Linked DNA regions of Macaca fascicularis. The protein of the gene in region 1 purifies or fractionates together with the protein of each later gene. This does not show direct contact. Links are inferred from orthologs where the notes say so. Each region holds a gene or a part of one and is shown on either strand. Other genes may lie near its edges.

Region 1 (3,813 bases):
AGGTGCTGGGATTACAGGTATAAGCCACTGTGTCTGGCCAGATTTTTTAAAAATATAAAAATAGAGATGGTGGTCTCATTATGTTGCCCAGGCTGTTCTCGAACTCCTGGCCTCAAAGTGATCATTCCCCCTTGGCCTCCCCAAGTGCTGGGATTACAGGCGTGGTCTATCTTCAGAGATAGTTCATAGATACACAAGTACATATGTATCCTTCATTCCCTCTTCTTACATAAAGAATCATGGCTGGGTGCGGTGGCTCAAGCCTGTAATCCCAGCACTTTGGGAGGCCGAGACGGGCGGATCACGAGGTCAGGAGATCGAGACCATCCTGGCTAACACGGTGAAACCCCATCTCTACTAAAGAATACAAAAAAACTAGTTGGGCGAGGTGGTGGGCACCTGTAGTCCCTGCTACTCGGGAGGCCGAGGCAAGAGAATGGCGTAAACTTGGGAGGCGGAGCTTGCAGTGAGCCGAGATCCGGCCACTGCACTCCAGCCCGGGCGACAGAGCCAGATTCCGTCTCAAAAAAAAAAAAAAAAAAAAAAAAAAAAAATTCATATAGGCTGGGCATTGTCGCTCATTCCTGTAATCCCAGCACTTTGGGAGGCTAAGGTGGGTGGATCACGAGGTCAGGAGTTTGAGACCAGTTCGCCAACATGGTGAAACCCCATCTCTACTAAAAATACAAAAAATTAGCTGGGCGTGGTGGTGTGTGCCCTGTAATCCCAACCACTCGGGAAGCTGAGGGAGGAGAATTGTGTGAACCCGGGAGGTGGAGGTTGCAGTAAGCAGAGATCACCCCACTGCACACCTGCCTAGGCAACAAACAGTGAGAGACTCATTCTCAAAAAAAAAAAAAAAAAAAGAATCATATAGTATTGACTGTGCTGATAGTATTGACTGTGCTGGATGTTACTTGGTTTTTCTTTTCATGCTGCCCCAGGCTGCACTCTCCATTTGGCAGGGGTGAGGCACCACTCGGATCTCCTCCAGCCTCTACCCCTGGGAGGAAGGTTGCACCGGTGAGGGGATAGAACTGGAGGCTGGGTGTGGAATATAGACTTTTCACATTAAACCATTTGTAACACAAATTTTAAACTTTTTAAGTTTTAAAAATTTTAAACTTTAAAATAATGATTTCAAAAATGTAAAAATTTAAACACTTCTTCCTACACAGATTTTCCACACACATACACACACGTCTGGAACTTTGATGTCCTACCAGGGCCAACCCCCTGCCTAGGCTCCTCACATGCAGATACCAAAGCTTCATTGCTTCATCTTCCCTTTAAAGCCTCTTAGCTCCTCTGTGATCTCAAGGCCATCCCAGGCCTAGCATCACTACCAGCGCCAAGCCTGGGTCACCTTCTGACTGGCTCTCTCTGGTATCCCTTGTATTGGGACTTAACCTCACCTCTTTCTCTCCTTGCTCCCACTTCATCTACTGCCACATTCCCTTAAATTTTTCCCTCTTATTTGTACTATTTTCTGACCCACAGCCTTTGTCAGATGGAAACCACAGACCCTCCTTGGCCCCAGGAACTCTAGGGCTAAGAGTCTGCTCTATTCTTTCCTGGTCTATAACCCCATAGCCCAGAGGTTAGAAAGGGTCTGAGAAGGCATCTCACCCATCACCTGAGCTGAACTCCTTCTCTACTTTGGTTAATGAGGGTTCAAATTCTCAAACATCTGCACAGTAGACATATTAACAAGCCCACAAGCCATGAGTCACGTAATGCAGTGATCTTCTCTCCCGCCCTGCCCCTTAGTTATTCCTGACATTTGGCCCAACCAGTTTAAACTTTGATATTCACTAAAATCACCTGGGAGCTTGTAAAATACAGCTTTTGGGGCTCCATCATCAGAGATTTTGATTCTATAGATGTGGGGTGGAGTTCAGGACCCTGCATCAGGGTTTCACTCTGTCACCCAGGCTGGAGTGCAGTGGCACAACCATAGCTTACTGCAACCTTGCACTCCTGGGCTCAAATGATCGTCCTGCCTTAGCCATCTGAGTAGGTGGGACTACAGGCACTTGTCATCATGCTTGACTAATTTTTTTTTTTTTTTTGAGAACGGGTCTCACTCCATCGCCCAGGCTGGAGTGCAGTGGCACAATCTCAGCTCACTACAACCTCTGCCTGCTGGGTTCAAGCAATTCTCCTGCTTCAGCCTCCCGAGTAGCTGGGATTACAGGTGTGCGCCACCATGCCCAGCTAATTTTTTTTTTTTGGCATTTTTAGTAGAGATGGGGTTTCACCATATTGGCCAGGCTTGCCTCAAACTCCTGACCTCAAGTGATCCGCCCACCTTGTCCTCCCAAAGTGCTGGAATTACGGGCATGAGCCTCTCTGCCCGACTCATAATTTTTTACGTTTTTTTTTTTTTTTTTGTAGAGACAGGGTCTTGCTATGTTTGTGTGCCCAAGTTGGTTTCAAACTCCTGGCCTCACATGATCCTCCCACTTTGGCATCTTAAAGTGCTGAGATTACAGGTATCACCCGTTGTGCCCAGTTAGAACTTGCATTTTTAATGAGACCTCAGGGGACTCTGATGATGGTGGTCTATGAGTTTGAGAAAGCAGTCTATTGTCCTCTGTGTATACTCGGTAAACCCTGCCGAGCACACCATGTTCGGTTGCAATGGTCCATGCTCTGGGGGAAACAGTGCAGGCCAGGGGTTCTGGGTGGACAGGGTAAGAGTGCTGTGACTCAGCAGTGAATTAGGAAATAAGTCTTCTTGGACTCTTAAGGAGAAAGGGGTGCCCCTCACAACCCTGGCACCTCCCTTTCTTCTTCAAGTTAAATTCTTCAGTACGGATGAAGAACACAAAATAAAATGGATGAATGCTCCTAGTCTCTCTTCTCTGGGCTACATTCCCAGAATAGACTTTGCCTAAGGAGCAAACACATGGCCATTCCCAAATCTGACCAGCAGGCCCCCAATAGGGAGGACTTTGGCCTGTAACCAGCCCTTGGTACTCAGGAACCAGAAAGACCCACCTGGTATGGTGCCTGCTGCTCAGGGTCGTCAGGGCTTCAAAGGGACTTGCATCTTTGGGTCCAAGAAAAGAAATTTCAGGAAAGGATTTAAACTGATGATGGAAAGGACGAAACTTCCTGCAACAGAGAAAACTTCTACTTTGACTACAATGGGGAAGGTAAAGGCTGAGGAGGGGGCCTCGCCCAATGCCCTAGAATTCCAGCCCTGATAAAGTGGACTCTCACCTCCACATCTTTTAAATTCTGTAACAAAACTCATCAGCCTTTCTAGGTTAAATTAATATGCATGTTCTCCCTGTCTACTTTTCAAACTCATACCACTGCCTCCCTGAAATCCTATAAGCACCCTCTGGGTTTATCCTATATCTAAGGAAATGAAGCCCAAGAGGTTCTGTGACTTGCTCAAGGGCTCACAAATAGTTAAGCGGCCAAGGTCAGATCAGAAGCCACGTCTCCAGACTCCCGATCTACTTTTCCCCACCTTCCCATTTTGTTTCTTGACCCTACACAATCCTTGAGGACTCTAGCCTGGCAGATTCTAAATGGAAACATGTTTAAACCAGAACAGTTATTTCCCTGTTTTGTGAAGCGTTCTTGCTGGTCCTTAGAATCATCTGAGGGCTGGTGTTCTGAACAGAGAAGACAGGCACAGTGAAGGTTCTGGATAGTCAGACCTGGACTGAGTGGTTCTGGCAGTGTGCCTGAAGTTGCAAACATTCAAGAGACTTGCAGAGACAGAAGTGATCTGTGTATACTTCGCAAACCCTGCCGAGTGAGGTAACTGCTGGGCACACCATGTTTGGTTGCAAT
Region 2 (4,250 bases), on another chromosome or scaffold:
TTTACTACATCAGCAATATTCAAGATATATATTAAACAAAAAATGGAGATCAGAAATAAGATCTCATACTCCGGTTCAGGCAATATTTCAATAATGCAAAAAGACTTTATTTTGGCTTTCTTTACTTCAAAACTTTCAATAATCATGTTTATCAGAAAAATGTTATAAAAAATCTTACAAATATCTCAAAATAAAGAGACATGCTATTCATCCATTACACTAAGTATTTTACTTTATATCCTTACATTAAATCATTCATTCAAATATTTTCAAGCACCTACTATGTGCTGGACACTGTTAAGCTCTGGGAATGCAAAGATATATAAAACATCCAATCAAAAATATAACTTCAATAAGGAGTAAAGCTGATAAGGTGCAGGGATATACCTGTCTTATGATCTAATTTGATTTACTTTCCCAATTAGATTACGAGACTGTTACGTGCCTGGACCTCATCAGCTTTACTCCCCATTGAAGTTATGTTTATATAATTTTAGCTGTTATTAAGGATCATATTTTAAAAAGAGCTGCAATAGTAAAGTTTTAGCATGTTTTACAATTTATCGTATTATTTATAATGTCCAATATTCTGTTACATAAATGCTACAAAACTTTTGAAATCTGGAATAAAATTCACCCCATTCTTTACTTCCCAGCAGATTTTCAGAATATTAGAATAGTGGCATTCTCCTAAACAAGATGCCAGAACCAAGTCAGAGTCATCCATTCAGATACTCTGCTGAAGTCACAACATACTTCAGAAGCCAGAGGAGATACTGCCACCAAGGGGCTTACAGTGGAGACAAAATGCAGAATCCTAAGCGATAGAAAAAGAATACTACAATGACTGTGTTACTGTGTTATGTGTCCAATGACTAGTAAGGGAAAGATGAACTAAAAAAACAGCTAACTGCTGGAAAAATGGAAAGGAAGAGGAACAGTATCCACGAAACTGGATGAAAGTGGCATTTTAAGATTATTCTAGCACCAACGTACCAGATGAACTGAAGGATGGAAAAGTGCAAGCAGGCAGCATAGGTGAGAAACTGTTGTAAATCAGGAACAAAGTGTAAGGAAATGAATTAATGTGGTGGAAATGGGAATGGAAAGAAGACACAATGCCATACCTATTAAAAAGAAATAAAGCTAGGTGACGATATGGGGAACAAATAAAAAGCATCAGCTGAAGATTAAAGTTTCAAGTTTAGGTAACTGGGATAAATGACTTCCATCAAAGCAGAAAGTATGTGATGTCATATTTTTCTAGGGTGGGGTTATAAAGAATATATGGACAAAAGGTCAAAATAAGTATCTTTTGGACAAGCACAGAATTCACTTCAGACAAAGATGGAAAAGATCTGGCTACCCTTTCAGGAAAACAAATACAGTCAACTAGAATTCCTCTATTTAACAAATATTTATTATTAATAAATACCTACTATGTCCCAGGTCCTGTGCCAGAGCAGAAATGAAAGCACACATGCGAGTGTACAAAAGCACGCACTGCTTGATCCTGTCCTCTTCACCCCAAGGTCTGGTTTATGGCCAAACAACATTTCATGCTCTACACTGAGATATGGTGCTTTATTATTGCTACAAACATTTCATATTTTTTTCTCTGTGAGTTCTGCTTTTGAATACTTAAGTGATGATCTCCAGTGTCAATTTCTAAATTTAAGCTTAAGGCAATGTGGTGAGTAGAGACAAGAACACAGGTAGAGAAGAGAAATTTAATTTGGGCATCATCAAATTTCTGCATTCTTAGTTACCAATATTGATGACCATAACAACTTCAACCGTAAAACGGGTTGTATTACAGTCTTCCAAATTGCAATTCAGTCCTACATTTAGATCATATGAAGCTCTGTTTTAAAACACTGTCCTATAGAAACACACAACTCACTTTAAGATTCAATCTACTTATTTTTTGAGAGCAACTGAAAACACAGAATTGTTGCCTGAAAAATCTCTGCAACTGTACATCTTTGGAATTAAACACATACCTGCAAGTTTAAAATTCTGCTCGTTTTTTTTTAGAGAGCCTTCAGCCTGAGACCGGTCACGCTGGGGAGAAAAAGCCATTGGCTCATCCATTTGAATCCCCAAAGACGCCTCCATCACAAGACAATTGGGATGCAAAATGCCAGCTAAGGGGTTACATCCACAGGGAAAGCAAAGCAGCTGTAAAAATTGTAACACTGGAGAAGTTTAGATCACTCGCTAAACCACGCACTAAAAACATGCCACTGCCCCCAAAGGGGCAAACATTTTCAAATGCACCATGTGTCCAAACCTCCACAGTAGGGCACACTGTGGCCTTTTCTAAGGAATTCCATGTGCTTTATTTTCACCTATCAGAAACGCCGGCAGGGGGCTGCAGGGAGAATTTCCCGGCTTGGGTACCCGCGCAGCAGCCGGCGCAGTGGGAAACGGCGAGGCTGCGAGTCCGGCGTAGCCTGCGGGACCGCGTGGGGGAGGGGCCGAGCGCCAGGGGCGGTTTGAAGTCAGGAAAAGGACAGAGGGAGAAAACCGTTTCGCCACTGACAGGGAGCGCCAGGAAGCTCGTCCAAGGCCCCACGCAAGTTGATGGAGAACTGATACGACCCTGGCTACGAGTACTGGGCGGAGGAGGAGATGGCTTAATGAATGGGAATCCTCCGACCAGCCCTGGCCGCGAGGTCAGCCGGAAAAGACCGGCTTCCCTCGGGCCAGAGACCGAACCAGATGCTTAGTACGCAGGCGCGCGACTTTCCCGCCGCAGGTCGGAGGGATCCGAAGGGGGGCGGGGAAAGGAACTGCACGGCGAGAAAACCGAAGTCACCATCCAGAATTCGTTCCTAATCCCTCACAATCCCGCGCCACGGAACAAACCGTCTGAAACTCACGGTTTAAGGGAGTACGACTTCTGGGGCTCCCCAGATGCCTGGGTCGCCGTCTCCAAGAGCTCCCCACCTACCGAGTGGATCGGATGCGCCTGCGCAACACTTCCCGCCGCAGCTCTCGTTGCACATGCGCACACTAAAGCCCTCGACCCAGCGGATTCCGCTACTGGGCGCTTGCGCAAGAGGGTGGGGTTTCTTCCCGCCCCCTTGGCCAGCTGGAAGAGCGGTTACGGGAATGAAACCCCGGGATGATCTTAAAAAACAGGGTGAACCATAAGGCTAAGGGCCCAACATGATTTCCAGGAAAGAAACTAGCTCAGAGAAGGAAACACCTCAGGTGCTGACACATCCCTATATACCGTGGCCGCACAACACTTGGGTACTCCATGGATAGAAGGCACTTTCTTGACTCTGCTTTTATTTCCTTTTCATTGAGTGCCCTACTTTCCGTTAAAAACAAGCAGAAAATGCTGATTATTTGTGACTGTGTTAGTAGAAATTAGCACAGTGGCAGGAAGGCAGTGTGTACTGTTTACTGAGTCCTTGGCTCTGAGGTAGGCGGATTTCTAGGGGCTGAAATCATAGTGAGCAAGACAAACACCATCCCTGTAGGAAGCTAAATTCCAATGAAGCGATGACAATAACGGATGAATACATGAACAGTATTCTTTCCGGTATTGATTACTACTTGAAGGAAATAAAATGAAAAGATGTGATAGTGCCTAGAAAGGTGGCATCTAGATGGTCAGGGAAGCCCTCTCAAAGAGACCTGGATGAGAAAGAGCTGGCAGGGAGACTATTGTTCTGGCAAAGAAAGGACAGGGCAAATGCAGAGAGAAAGGAACTTGGTATGTTGCGGGGGCAGGGCAGGAAAGGCCAGTGTGGGGGAAGCATAGTGAGTGAGCGGCAAGATAGTCCCAGATAGATGAGGGTGGAGAGTTAGGCAGAAGCCAGACCGTGGTCCTTGAAAGCCAGGGTAAGAAGTTTGGCTTTTATTTTGAGTACAATAGGAAGCTATTTGAAAGTTTTAAAGCAAGGGAGTGATATGATCTATGTGTTATGAAGAGAATGGATTATAGAGGGGCAAATGTGGAAGCAGAGGAAATAGGATGCACTTCATGTTTAGGAGAAAGATAATGATAGTTTGGACCAGAACAATGGCGGAAGAAATAAAAGAAAGAAGACAATGGGATTTGGTGATTGGCTGTGGAAAATTAAGAAAAGGGCATCATCAAGAGTGAATCTGAGGTTTTGGGGCTAGCATATGTGTGGGTGGTAGTGCCACATAGAAGGGAAGTCTGTGAGGTAATGGGTTTTGATTGAGTGAGGTGGAAGAGAGTAAATCAAGAATTCTAGTGTGGATACTGA

Evidence for each region.
Region 2: the proteins of DBF4B (region 1) and CDC7 purify together in Homo sapiens (affinity purification with mass spectrometry; 3 studies listed by BioGRID and IntAct, counting the BioPlex papers as one, with this or other methods). This does not show direct contact. The link is inferred for Macaca fascicularis from reciprocal best matches to the Homo sapiens genes DBF4B and CDC7.

The regions. Positions count from the first base shown.
Region 1 is NC_088390.1:65,794,070-65,797,882, reverse strand, and holds part of DBF4B (protein DBF4 homolog B), read right to left. Parts: intron 3,121-3,813; coding exon 3,004-3,120; intron 1-3,003. UniProt on the Homo sapiens protein: Regulatory subunit for CDC7 which activates its kinase activity thereby playing a central role in DNA replication and cell proliferation. Required for progression of S and M phases.
Region 2 is NC_088375.1:142,924,577-142,928,826, forward strand, and holds the start of CDC7 (cell division cycle 7-related protein kinase), read right to left. Parts: upstream 3,021-4,250; 5' UTR 3,012-3,020; coding exon 2,957-3,011; exon of another isoform or gene 2,886-2,956; intron 2,467-2,885; exon of another isoform or gene 2,148-2,466; coding exon 2,004-2,147; exon of another isoform or gene 1,483-2,003; coding exon of another isoform or gene 1,440-1,482; intron 1-1,439. UniProt on the Homo sapiens protein: Kinase involved in initiation of DNA replication. Phosphorylates critical substrates that regulate the G1/S phase transition and initiation of DNA replication, such as MCM proteins and CLASPIN.